Struthio camelus: one gene and its partner. The protein of the gene in region 2 purifies or fractionates together with the protein of the main gene of each other region. This does not show direct contact. Links are inferred from orthologs where the notes say so. Each region holds a gene or a part of one and is shown on either strand. Other genes may lie near its edges.

What was found. Proteins that work in one complex are often made in the same cells at the same time.
Region 1: the proteins of BNIP1 (region 2) and NBAS purify together in Homo sapiens (co-immunoprecipitation; 3 studies listed by BioGRID and IntAct, with this or other methods). This does not show direct contact. The link is inferred for Struthio camelus from reciprocal best matches to the Homo sapiens genes BNIP1 and NBAS.

The regions. Positions count from the first base shown.
Region 1 is NC_090944.1:21,407,792-21,414,776, reverse strand, and holds the start of NBAS (NBAS subunit of NRZ tethering complex), read right to left. Parts: upstream 3,001-6,985; 5' UTR 2,971-3,000; coding exon 2,821-2,970; intron 1-2,820. UniProt on the Homo sapiens protein: Involved in Golgi-to-endoplasmic reticulum (ER) retrograde transport; the function is proposed to depend on its association in the NRZ complex which is believed to play a role in SNARE assembly at the ER. Required for normal embryonic development.
Region 2 is NC_090954.1:8,598,357-8,605,473, reverse strand, and holds the start of BNIP1 (vesicle transport protein SEC20), read right to left. Parts: upstream 3,004-7,117; 5' UTR 2,965-3,003; coding exon 2,791-2,964; intron 2,710-2,790; coding exon 2,617-2,709; intron 2,373-2,616; coding exon 2,281-2,372; intron 1,747-2,280; coding exon 1,645-1,746; intron 906-1,644; coding exon 787-905; intron 1-786. UniProt on the Homo sapiens protein: As part of a SNARE complex may be involved in endoplasmic reticulum membranes fusion and be required for the maintenance of endoplasmic reticulum organization. Also plays a role in apoptosis.

The DNA of each region.
Region 1 (6,985 bases), on a different chromosome or scaffold from region 2:
ACTTGTGACTATGTCCTCTTGTAAAGTATTATAAATCATTATTTCTATGGAACATAGACTAGGAATTATTCTTTCTAGGAATATAGACTGCATATGCCTACCGTAGAAAAGAGTAAGTTCAATCTGCTTGTTTTCCACAGTTCTAAATGATTCTATGAGTCTTCCCCCGCAACCTTAGTCAGAGAACCGCTGCCTCATTCACTGTTTGCAATGATTAACGACACAATAATTCTTTCTGTTCTCATCACGTACTCTGGAATTCCTGAACCACTTGTTATATACAATCATACCACTGCACCGAGTGTAGATTGCTCAATTTTCATACCGGCCTTTTCTCTGGCATTGTCACCTCTACGTAGGCGTTCTTTACAAAACAAAATATTTCTCAGGAAACGTAATATATGTAAATGAGAATACTAGCAAGAACTAAGATTAAAGCCAATATGGGATCCAACTTAAGAAATGCCAGTTTTAAGTGTTTTGAATTTAACAGATCTTTAAATTCTCATCGGAGACAGAGCTTCCAACGGTTGTAATTACAGTTGGAAGTGCTCGGCACTTCGGCAATCAAAACTGAATCATCCCAAATGAGATACAGAAAAATAAAGTAAAGTCAATAGAGATCTGTGGGGAGTATGGTTTAAGGCCTTTTTTTGTATCCTGTAAAACTGCGTAGACAGAGATTTAATTTGATTTCCCAGTATAACATTCAACTTAGCTTCCTTTCCCTTTCTTCAATTTCCCACCTCAGTCATTCTAAACCACTCAGTTCTACAAGAAATAAGGTGAGAATTATTTTTGTGACTTTTTCCTGTACAGTGCACAATGTGAATAAACCAGAATTAAAAAGACTGATGTTCCAAGGGGAAATGCACAGCCACCTAAATAATATTATTGTTAAGACATCTTCAGGCAAACACTGAATCACACTGACAAAATTTCTCTTTGCCTGTGTATGTCAGTGTAAAAGCAATTTTCTACTAAAGCCTTAGAACATGTCGGAAGTATCCTTGTCTTTTGACAGTCTTCAAAAAATGGTAATTCTAACAAACTACAAAATGTAACATTTCCAGGCTTTTCTAATTTTGCTATTTAAAGTGGCAATTATCTTGAAGATGTAGCACGTAAGAAAGAAATGCGGAGCTTAAAATGGCCTGTAATATTTGATCAAGTTGACAAGCAGAATTCTACGTTGCTCAGAAATTCCAATAGTCAGGGTGGGTCAGGACCCTCAGGCTGTGGTTCCACAATCACTTTAAACTGGCACATACCCACACTGCTGCTGAAGACAGGTCTCACATTTCCCTCCGCCTTTACTGACACGTTCCTGACCCCCCCACACCTATCTGAGGGTTTGTAGGACCACCCAACAGAAGTAATGAAACAAGAGAATTAACTCTCAGACTAGCCACTTCCCTTCGCTGTACAACTTCAAGAATACCAGTGACAGCAGAAAAGAAGGGATGATTGTCAGCAGAAGAAGAAGGGAAGATTGTCCCTTTTGTACAATTGGAAAAACAGTCTCATGTGCCACTACACCAAGTCCTCCTTATGATTTTCAGATATGCAAATCTTTCATCTATGACTAAACAGAAAGGGAAGAAGAAAATCACAGTATTGACCATCTCTCAAAACAAAGTTAAATAAAAACAGATGCAACTGTCTATTCATCTACATCACTAACCCAATATGTTATCAATTGATAATACCATAACTATTTTCCTCAAACACCTATTCCTGTTACAGCAACTGAAGACTTCAAGCTCAAGATAAACAAATCAAGATGTTTTCTGGCAAACAAAAAGCTGTTCTCATGTGAACGGTTTTAGTGATCATAAGTAGGTACGTTCTTTTATCTGTGATGTTTTACCATACCCTCTGTCGAGAGGTTCCCATTAAAGCATAAAGCCCTGCTAAAATATTTCCGTAATGTATTTTCCTAACTAAAAAGAGTTTTAACAAATGCAGTGGGTTTGAAAGCCCACTACAAGCAACACATAAGACCACATCCCTCCCTCTCATCTTCTAAGTCCAAAGCAGACAGCAACAGAAACAGAGGCAACTAACTCAGTACACTGCAGGGAAAAAGATGAGAGAGCAAACCCTCAGCATCTGAGTTTTTCCATTGACCCACAGAAAAGGAGAACACAAGCAAGATCTTACAATACAGGAGTCCTGTTTTCCTATCTTTAAAGCTTTGTCATCCACCTGTGTGCCACCTACACATACAAAGCAATATACCTCTTAAACCTTTTCCACCCTCTCAAAAGACAGCTGTGATCAAGTAACGTTCCGATGTAAAACTCTAGAGAGTGAACTAATTTGGCTCATGCAAAGTAAGCTTGATAAAGGCCAAGCTGCCACGGTGCAGTTCCCGTTACTCTCCGTACGGCTGTTTCTGGAAAACGCGCCTGAAGTTTGTCACAGCCCCTCCTCGCAGACGCTCGACAGCAAAACCTGGCACGCATTAGTCACACCGAAGGAGCAAAAAAGGCTTCAAGGAAAATCAAGTGGCATAAACATGAGTGACAGGGCAAAAATTAAGTGACATCGAAAAGGAGCGGGCGCCAGACGGTCACAGGGGCAGAACCACCACAGCGCACACGGTGCTTGCCCCCCTGCTTCCCCCGCTCGCTGTGCCCAAGCCGGTCAGCCCGGGGAACAGAGGCACCTTGCCCAGAGGCGAGGCTCCCTCGCCGCCCCCGGGCCCGGCGGAGAACGGCTCCGGCCGCCGCAGGCTGCTCGGCGCAGCCCGGCCCCTCCTCGCCGACGTGGCCGGTCCCCCGCCCCGCGCCGCGGCCCAGCCCGGACGACACTCACCTGCACCTCTGTCTCCGGCGGCCACTCGGTGTTAACGAGCAAGTCGTACAGGATATTCTCCTCCTCACCCTCCTCCTCCCCCTCGCTGACAGCCGCCATCTCCATCTCCGCCTCCGTCCCACCTCCCCCGCGCTCCCCGGCGGCGGCCATATTCGCCCGGGCCCAACCCACCGCCGCAGCGACTACGGCGCCCGGCGAAGGCCAAAGTGCTGAGGCGACGCCGCCGCGCGCCGGGCGCGGCCTCCAGCCCCCTCCGCGCTGCCCCCTACCGGGCGCGCCGGGCCCCGCCCGGCCCGGCCCGGCCCGAGCCCCGCCCGGCCCGGCCCGTGCCCTCCGGCCTTGGAAGCCCTGTACCGGGGGAGGGTGGGGCGGAGCGGACCCTGGGCTCGTGGAAGTGCGTCTAGCTTCAGCTCGAGAAAGTTCAGCGCCCGGCGGCTTTGCCTTGCAGCCCTGCGGGAGAGGGCGATAACGGGCGAGAGGCAAGGAGGGGCAGAGAGTTCATACACCTGCAGAGAGCGTGTGTGAGCGAGTGTGTAGGAGAGGGGCCCTGCTGCTCCCTGCTGCGTCCTGACATACACCAGTGCGTTTCCCAGAAGCACTGACTAGGCTGCCTGTGCTCTCCCGGCCTTCCTCCACGTACATCCGCTGTGGAGGACTGCTTGTGGCTGGGCCTAGGGCCTCAGCATGTGAGCCAGCCCTCCCCCGGCACCTAGAGCGCGAGCCAGGCCTTCCCCGGCACCTAGAGCGCGAGCCAGGCCTTCCCCGGCACCTAGAGCGCGAGCCAGGCCTTCCCCGGGACCTGGAGCGCGAGCCAGCCCTTCTTTGCGACCTGGAGGGCGAGCCAGGCCTCCCCCGCGACCTGGAGCGCGAGCCAGGCCTCCCCCGCGACCTGGAGGGCGAGCCAGGCCTCCCCCGCGACCTGGAGGGCGAGCCAGCCCTTCCCCGGGACCTGGAGGGCGAGCCAGGTCTTCCCCAAGACCTGGAGGGCGAGCCAGGCCTTCCCCGGGACCTGGAGGGCGAGCCAGGCCTTCCCCAAGACCTACAGCTCGAGCCAGCCCTTCCCCGGGACCTGGAGCGCGAGCCAGCCCTTCCCCGGGACCTAGAGCGCGAGCCAGCCCCTTCCCAGGACGTGCAGCGTGAACCAGCCCTTTCCCAGGACGTGGAGCGCGAGCCAGGCCTTCCCGAGACCTGGAGTGCGAGCCAGGCCTTCCCCGGGACCTGGAGCGTGAGCCAGCCCTTCCCTGGGACCTGGAGCGCGAGCCAGCCCTTCCCTGGGACCTGGAGCGCGAGCCAGCCCTTCCCTGGGACCTGGAGCGCGAGCCAGGCCTTTCCCGGGACCTTGAGCTCAAGCCAGGCCTTCCCCGGGACTTGGAGGGCGAGCCAGCCCTTCCCTGGGACCTGGAGCTCGAGCCAGGCCTTTCCCGGGACCTGGAGCTCGAGCCAGCCCTTCTTTGGGACCTGGAGCACGAGCCAGCCCTTACTTGGGACCTGGACCTCGAGCCAGCCCTTACTTGGGACCTGGAGCTCGAGCCAGCCCTTCCCCGGGACCTGGAGCACGAGCCAGCCCTTCCCCGGGACCTGGAGCGCGAGCCAGCCCTTCCCCGGGACCTGGAGCGCGAGCCAGCCCTCCCCCGGGACCTGGAGCGCGAGCCAGGCCTCCCCCGGGACCTGGAGCGCGAGCCAGCCCTCCCCCGGGACCTGGAGCGCGAGCCAGCCCTCCCCCGGGACCTGGAGCGCGAGCCAGCCCTCCCCCGGGACCTGGAGCACGAGCCAGCCCTTCCCCGGGACCTGGAGCGCGAGCCAGGCCTTCCCCGAGACCTGGAGCGCGAGCCAGCCCTTCCCCGGGACCTGGAGGGCGAGCCAGCCCTTCCCCGAGACCTGGAGCACAAGCCAGCCCTACCCCGGGACCTGCAGCTCGAGCCAGCCCTTCCTCGGGACTTGGAGCACGAGCCAGCCCTTCCCCGGGGCCTGCAGCACGAGCCAGGCCTTCCCCGAGACCTGGAGGGCGAGCCAGGCCTTCCCCGAGACCTGGAGGGCGAGCCAGGCCTTCCCCGAGACCTGGAGCGCGAGCCAGGCCTTCCCCGAGACGTGGAGCGCGAGCCAGGCCTTCCCCGAGACGTGGAGCGCGAGCCAGGCCTTCCCCGAGACGTGGAGCTCGAGCCAGCCCTTCCCCGAGACGTGGAGCTCGAGCCAGCCCTTCCCGGGACGTGGAGCTCGAGCCAGGCCTTCCCCGGGACGTGGAGCGCGAGCCAGGCCTTCCCCGGGACCTGGAGCGCGAGCCAGACCTTCCCCGGGACCTGGAGGGCGAGCCAGGCCTTCCCCGGGACGTGGAGCTCGAGCCAGGCCTTCCCCGGGACGTGGAGCTCGAGCCAGGCCTTCCCCGGGACGTGGACCTCGAGCCAGCCCTTCCCCGGGACGTGGACCTCGAGCCAGCCCTTCCCCGGGACCTGGAGCACGAGCCAGCCCTTCCCCGGGACCTGGAGCACGAGCCAGCCCTTCCCCGGGACCTGGAGCTCGAGCCAGCCCTTCCCCGGGACCTGGAGCGTGAGCCAGCCCTTCCCCGGGACGTGGAGCACGAGCCAGCCCTTCCCCGGGATGTGGAGTGCGAGCCAGCCCTTCTTTGGGACCTGGAGCGCGAGCCAGCCCTTCTTTGGGACCTGGAGCACGAGCCAGCCCTTCCACGGGACCTGGAGCGTGAGCCAGCCCTTCCTCGGGACCTGGAGCGTGAGCCAGTCCTTCCTTGGGACCTGGAGCGCGAGCCAGCCCTTCCCTGGGACCTGGAGCGCGAGCCAGGCCTTCCCCGGGACCTGGAGCGCGAGCCAGGCCTTCCCCGGGACCTGGAGCGCGAGCCAGGCCTTCCCCGGGACCTGGAGCGCGAGCCAGCCCTTCCCCGGGACCTGGAGCGCGAGCCAGGCCTCCCCCGGGACCTGGAGCGCGAGCCAGGCCTCCCCCGGGACCTGGAGCGCGAGCCAGCCCTTCCTCGGGACCTGGAGCGTGAGCCAGCCCTTCCCCGGGACCTGGAGCGTGAGCCAGCCCTTCCCCGGGACCTGCAGCTCGAGCCAGCCCTTCCTCGGGACCTGCAGCTCGAGCCAGCCCTTCCACGGGACCTGCAGCTCGAGCCAGCCCTTCCCCGGGACCTGGAGCGTGAGCCAGCCCTTCCCCGGGACCTGCAGTTCGAGCCAGGCCTTCCCCGGGACCTGCAGCTCGAGCCAGGCCTTCCCCGGGACCTGGAGCGTGAGCCAGCCCTTCCTCGGGACCTGGAGCGTGAGCCAGCCCTTCCCCGGGACCTGGAGCGCGAGCCAGCCCTTCCCCGGGATGTGGAGCGCGAGCCAGCCCTTCCCTGGGACCTGGAGCTCAAGCCAGACTTCCCCGAGACCTGGAGCGCAAGCCAGCCCTTCCCCAAGACCTGGAGCGCAAGCCAGCCCTTCCCCGGGACCTGGAGCGCGAGCCAGCCCTTCCCCGGGACCTGGAGCACGAGCCAGCCCTTCCCCGGGACCTGGACCTCGAGCCAGCCCTTCCCCGGGACCTGGACCTCGAGCCAGCCCTTCCCCGGGACCTGGAGCGCGAGCCAGCCCTTCCCCGGGACCTGGACCTCGAGCCAGCCCTTCCCCGGGACCTGGACCTCGAGCCAGCCCTTCCTTGGGACCTGGAGGGCGAGCCAACCCTTCCCCCGGACCTGGAGCTCTTGGGGCTGAGCTTTTGTCACAGGCCAAGCTTTCCTCGCACGCACGTGCTCCATTTGGTAACAGCCATGCAATGCAGCTGGGAAAACGGCTGTAGGAGCTGCCCGCTTGGTTTCGGCTGGATGTTTACTGCCAACCTTTGCTGAGGAAAATTTATCAATGTGTGTCTCATTAAAGAAAAATCTTAAGAATAATAAGTCTAAGGATGGTCTTCTCTCTCTTCATACTCCCCTTTGCAGTACCTGCTCCCAAGGTAGGACCAGAACTCTCCTGCCGTGGGGATCGCTCAGAGGATCTTATACCTGCTGCCCAGCTAAAGCGCTGGAGCAAGATGAAAATTGTGGTGCTGCTCAGCAGGAACATGCCCTGTCAGCAGGGCTGCAGTCCCAAAGGGACGCCCCAGGGAAAATTCCTGTAGCTGCAGCCCTGTGTTGGGTGTCCAGAAATTGATAGTAAGAAAATTTAGGGTAAAAACCAACTAT
Region 2 (7,117 bases):
ATGGGGGCGGGGGAGAAGGTAGGAAACGAGGGAGGGGAAGCCGCATTATTTCTCCTAGTCTTTAAACTATTTTCTCTTCTGCCCAAGCGCAGCTAGTAAGGGGCCCAAGCAACGCAGATCCAACTTCTAAATGGTTCATGAATCACCAGTTCTGACAGGCCACTTGATTTATTGTCTGAGGAGTCTAAGCCAAAGAACAGGGCAAAATCTTGGTTTCGCACTCCCCGATGCACTGCTGACAGAGCAAGCGACCTCAGGTTCAAGTCACTTGATCTCCACATCTCTTAGTCATCCCAGCTGGAGACTGGGTAAAAACAGTTTTCCATCCATACTAAGTTTCCTCTACGTGCGGACTTGCACCTATGCTTTTATTTTCTTTTCTGTTGCCACGTGCATGCCAGGACAAGAGCACTGAGTAGCAGCAAACACACTCTTCACATTGTGTGAAGTCACATTGCTTTTACACTTTTATGTGAAACTAAAACAAGAGCTTTTCCTCCTGCCCCCTCTTGTTTATTTCAGAACTGAGAAGACACATCACGAAACAGAAAGACAGCCCAGCAAACAGCTTCATGCAGTGTGCCATTATTATTTGCTGTTCCTACCCAAGTGTTAGAGGAGTTCTGCTGGACAGTCCTTTAATTATCCTAGTAAGTTCAGGATTAGCGATACAGCTTTCCACCGTGCTCCACATCTTGACAGTTTGCCTCTCCCCATGCTAACAGTACTAGCGAAAGGCACTTCAGTCATACAGTCCATAACCAAATACCCAAATTACAGCTGTACCTAGGGTTTGCACAGTCTCCTCACTCTGCTGGACTTGCTGTGACATCATCCTGCTAATGCCCATCAAACTCTCCGTGATGTTACTTGCACTCTCTGCCAGGCTCTCCTTTGTAGTCTTTCTGAAAGAGGAAGGGAAAAATAAAGGGGTAAGGGAGAAAATGATGTCTCTGGGTACTGCAGAAAAGTGCTGCTGACAGGGAGCTAAGAACAGAGCTTGGCACCCCACATCTCTGCCAACGTACAAAAGATACAACCAGGTTTTATTAACGCATGAGAAACTAAGATTAAGGTATGGACTCATTATCTTCACTAAACACTAAGAATCGCAACACGTTAAAGTCATGAGCCAAAACAACTGTTAGGCAGTGGATCAGAGTCTCATGGAGGCTCACACCTCGCTAGTTGTTAATCCTTGACTATACAGCTTCATAAAGTGGCACAAAAGCGCTGATACAACTTCGTTATCTTGGATTTCTGCTGCTTCACCATAAGCCAACTTTTCAATACACAAATTATATAAACTTAATCCAGTTCTGCATGCGAAAACAGACTGAAAAATGATCTGTTATTTGTTTATGAATCTGACTGGATTTAATGTAAAAAGCTGTCAGAAACACTTTGAAGGCTATCCTGTCCCCTTTTTCTGCATAGATGGGCCAACACCAAAAAATCCCTAAAATTATTACAATCCTTAACAGTTTAAAATCTACACAAAAGCTAAATGCACTCATAAAAGAAAATCTGTCCAAATACAATCAGGTGACTTACAATTATTACATCACTCCCTTTTAAAACCAGTGAATACCACATCTACTGTTTAAATCTGTTACCAAAACATAAAGGGGAATAGTTTAGTACCTTTGTCTTAAGGAGTCTCTTCCCTGAAGCAGCTGATCTTTCTCAGAGTTGTCAATAGCAATTTTGCACGCTAGATTTGCCTTTCTCCAAGCCGCCTGATTGCTGAAATCACAAGAGTACAACGGCGTAGCACGATGGTAACACTTTGCAAGCTAAAACGGTTTTCAACAAGGAAACTGCCATAACTGAGCACCCTATGTACACACATGGACTATTTCTACGTTATACCACAGAATAACGTGGTATAATAATAATATACCACATTCCCTTCTGTTGCTTCTCCTCCTGCGTGTATCTTTTATGGAGCAAGGGGATGAGGGATATTGTGCTACCTGTCAGAAAACGGTCCCTCAAGGCACTGCCTTACGCGCTCAGCCTTGCGTACCGTGCTGCTCCAAGGGGATTCGGCTCAGCAGACCGCGACTAGCGTCACGGGCAGGAGAGAGGGGACGAGGAGAACAAAGTCCTGCCCCTCCGTCACGGATCCGCTCTCGCCGTCCTGGGCGAAACGGCTTCGTGTCCGTGACCGTATTTGCGAAACGGGAATCTGAGAGACGCTGCACCCAAGTCAGGTACCTCCACGTTTACCTCGCCCCAGGGAACGAACCTGTACACAGCACCTGCTGCCCAGCCTACCTGAGCATTTGCTTTTTATGGTTTTCCACTTCCTGGAGCAAGGCTTGTTTCTCCGATTCTTTATCTTGTTCCTTCGCCATCTGTTCAAGCTCCTTTGACGGAAAGCAGAAACAGGAGGTTCTGACCAAGCGCTGTCACCATCTGCAAGTTGTGTGTCCCCGTCCCCCCCTCACCCCCGTGAGGGAAAGAGTTAACACCAAAATTCCCTCAGGAGTTAACACCGCCACAGCCTCGCCGCGCGGCTCGGACTCCCGAGCCCCCCGCCCGCCCCAAACCGGCCCGCGGTGCCTCGGCGGCGGCCGAGAGGCCGGGGGGGCCCGCGGGGCCCGGCCTCACCTGGAGGCGGCCGCGGAGCTGCTGGAACTTCTCCTTCACGGCGGCGTTGAGCTCCGCGAGGGCGCTCAGCGGCCCCGGGCAGTCCCGGATGTCCTGCAAGGCAACGGCGCGGTCAGCGCGGCCCGGGGCAGGGGAAGGAGGGGAGAGGAGGCGGCCCGGGACGGGCGGCGCTACCTGCACGGCCGCCTTGATCTCCAGGTCGAACCTGACGATCTCCTGGTGACAGACCCGCACCGGCACCGAGGCGGCCGCCGCCATCTTGGGAGCAGAGGCCGCGCCGCCGCCGCTGCCGCTTGGGCGCCGCCTGCTGGGGCGGCGGGGCCAGAGCCGGGGCCGGGGCGGCGACATCGGATAACCCCGGTGGCCTCGGCCGGCGGTGGCCGGGCTGCCCCAGGCGGGAGGGACCGGGCCCCGCCGGCGGCGCCCCCGCGCTGCTTTGCCTGCTGCCGCGGGAACGGCTCAGGGCATCAAGCGCAGGGATTCGGGCTTAAAATGCCTCACGTAGCTGAGAGGCTCAGCTGCGCCGCCAGGCCCCCTCGGAGCCTCCGCGCTGCGGCGCGCAGCCAGCGGCGTTTCTCGTCCGTATTAGTAATCCTTTGCTAAACGATTCCTGTCATATGCCCTTCGATACTGCGACTGCTACAATCGTAGTAACCTTTCCGCCAGCCAGGCCTTCCTTCACGCGCTACATCGGCCTGAAGAGAGGGGTCGACTCCTTTTCCGCGATCGGACTGAGCCGGGTCAGGCTCCCTGTGAGGAGGAAGAGGAGGAGGAGGAGGAAGAGGCCGGGGTGCAGGGCAGGGCCGAGGCGAAGCGCCGGGGGCGCGTCCCCCAGCCAAGGCGCTTCCCCACCTCGTCCCCAGCGAGGCGTCGGGGAGGGGGGGCGGCGCGAGGGCACCCGTCCTCCCCTCCCCGGCCCCGCAGACACCGCGCCAACTTCATTTAGGCCCTGACTTTCTGGTCTTTGGCCCTCAGCAGCCGGGAACATGGCTGATCCTGCTACGAAGAGGCTCTGGGAATAACGTTACCGCCTTCTGCGGCCCTGCAGCAAGCGGAAGGGGAGCACCACGTCGACCCTTCTGCTGTTTTCTGCAAACGCCTCCCGTTCTGGCCCCGTCTTTTCCCACTCCTGCCTTCAGATCAGGCTGCATCACAAACCCGATCTACACCCAGTTAGCAGGCGCTGGGGTTGGAGACCCCTTGGACGGCCGTTTCAGGGAGCCTGTAAAGCGACCTGGCGGTTTTCAGGCTAGCTCCCCGTGCTAACGCACTCATCCGGCAGCTTTGCGCGTTAGCTGTTACTATGAGCACTGACTAGGAGAAACCAGCCCGTTGTCTCCTTACCTAGCAGTGACTCCTTCCACAGGAAAACCGCAGCGCAGCAGGGGGACACTGACACCCTTTCCTTCGTACCCGTTCGGCACAGAGGGAGCGAGCGCTTGAAGCTTCCCGCAACGTCAGGCCCACGTTTCTGGGAGGAAGCCCGAGTCAACGCGTTACAGCAGCTATGCCCTACTGAACGCAGAGCCCCACGGCAGAGCGTTTAAGAGAGTACGGCACCGTTCAAGGTCACTCCACGCATACAACGATTTGAGACCATTTTTCCTCCACAATTTTTATTTTAAATTACAAAGGATGTTGCATACATTGATGAATTTGTATCTGAATAGAAGTGCTAGGGATCAAGGGTGACAGAGTAAACAAAGTCAATAGTTTAATTGTGCCTCTTTTCAGGGACAGAAAAAGAAAAGAAAAACTGCACAACTATTAACCAACATTAAACATTGTAACTCTTAACAGATCATGCTTTTAACAAGGTAAATTTATTTTCTAACAGAGACAAGACTTTCAATAAGTTTTTCTGAGCTCCAGTTGGAAGTTGATTACAGAATGTCAAGGACAGCATTACAGTCATGACCCCAAGCATAGGCAGAGCAGGATACCATGTTTTCTTTAAAATGCTTTTTTTCCCCTTGCCTTTCAACCACCTATGTCTGCGTGTGCCATCAGCCTTAAGAGTTCACTCAACCACAAATACTGAGCAATGAGAAGTTTTACTTAGATGAAATACTATTCTAGGATAGGTGATTCAAACTAGATTCTGTTTTTTAAGCAGAAGATTTTGTTAGGCTGGAGGGTGCTTTTGTCAGTCCTAAATCCAATCCAGAAGTTTTTCTTACTTGAGCCAGTTGACTTAACCCAAATTGGGGTTAATTCAGGTACCTAAACATCAAATATTCTTAAATGAAGAAAACCCCCTAACACTGATGTTATCTAAAGAGCTTGGATTTTTTTTTTTTTTATTGACATGAAAAAACTGTGTTTTAAAATAGCTCTCCCTTCACTTTTAGCTCCACTGCTCATTAGAAAGACAATAAATGCATAGTCAGGATTTGCTCTTGTGGAAGTTCATGAATGTCTGAAAGGCTGAGGATTATAAATTCAGTGCGCACACACACCTCCTTACCATGCTAGAAGCATTGGGGGAGAAAAACATGGCATATTGTGAAATGTAAATCAGAGAAAGATATAGACATTTTGTATGCTGTGAAGAAGATATAACCTAGTATTGCCATCTTTCATTAACGACATTTAAGAATCCCAATTTATATTGGGAGATATTCAAGAGTGCTGTTTTCTCAACATACTAATGCCCTTAATACAGTTACAAGAAGAATCAGTCACTGAAACAGTAACTGTTTGAAATGTACTTCACACAATCCCTGGGGTAAACAAATAAACTTCAGCTCTGTGCAAGGCTGTGTCAATAAGCCAAGACCACATCTAGCAGCACACTTCACTAGATGATTCCAACTGAAGCCTCTAACTTGAAAATAAAATAAAAATCATGATTAGGTGCGTTCTTGAAATTCAGGTCGCAAGGCCAAATACAGATCCTAACATTCGTGTTACATAATTGGGTTATGCCTCAACAGAATTTCAGGAAGACTAGCAAGCAAGTTTGAGGAACAGAATTGCATCTGCTATTTCTGCTGAAGGCAACTTTGAAACAACCCTTTGAAATTCTCCTGATAAAGCCTTTTACAGCTTTAAAAAAATAGCTATGTTTAAATGATGTACGGAAAAGAAAAGCACATCCATTCTTTACATTTTGTGAATAAGCTGTTTTATTAATGAAGGCAAATATCAGAAAATTGTTTGGGTTGGGGGGGTGTCTTGTTTTTCAAACAAAATCCAAACTGACACCACGGTATTTCAGAAGCATCTGCTTCCTTTTACGTTAGTTAAAACAACCCTTCATCCGTTTTATGTTTTGTTAAAAACTTTTTCCTGGCCCACTTCTCTCAGTACGGAAAAAGTCTGCTATACATAAGAATTAGGAAATGAACACATCTGAGCCCGACTCTCGCATCAGCTTTACAGCAATGCAACTTCATTAAATCACAATGATTTAAACTGGTATGATAAGAAAATCCAGCCCATCCACACCTAAACATAGCTTTAGTTGTAACTAATTCCCTCTCATCCAAAGAAAGTACTCAACAAATATCCGTAAGCGTGTTCAATAAATCATGGAAGTGAAAGCGTTAGCAAAGGGGGTTTAGGGCGTAAAAACACCCCCCCCCCCCATGAGGACCCCCAAATTTTGCAAGACCATTCAAAAACTGGTCTTCCATATAAATACAAAGTGGCTACTATTGAGAGGAAATGAAATCAGATCTATCCAAACTTTCTTCAGGACACTTTTATCAGTTCTGATTCGCTTTCAGAAGGGTTAGGCTTGAAGAGTTCCGGGGGAATGAAAAACATTTAGTTCTAGACGTACAAGTAAGGCACAATATAAAGCCACATCATAATCTGTCATGAAGGAAGTAGGAAAGGACAAGAATCATACATGGTACAGTAGAACAAGCAGTCCATCAATTCAAAAAGTGTGGCACCTAAGTTCAGACTGACGAGATCTCAACAAGAGCAGTTATGACAGCATGCTTTTAATATGGAAACAAATTCTAGAGAATCCAGTGTATCAGATAAAGGAAGAGCTTTTGCTTGTATTAAATCAAAAATGTATAATTGTTTTTGGATACAGGATTAAAAGTGAATACTCACAATGCCTACACTCAAAAACAAACAAAAAATCCAGGACTTCATTAAGATCCACATACCATGTATGAACACCGAAAATCTTTAGAAAATGGTCTTCTCTAAAGATCATCCAAAAATGCATGCCACAATTGCCAAAAAACAGAACATGTACATTTGCTGTTTTTTATACCCTTATAAAGATTTTTGTTTGTGATAAGTATACACTAAATGTATATATTTTAATGACACTAGAGGAAGCAGATTGTTACTGGCATTAAAGTACAACCATTTCTAGACGGTTTAAATGCCACAGAGTCCCCTGGTTAAAATGTAAAGCTGCACAGCTTGCCTATGTCACCTTTATGATAAAGTTAAACCAGCAAAAGGTCTTATCTTTACTCTACATTTTACTGCCAGGTTTTATTTATATCAAGTATCGCTGCAGCATTCTGAC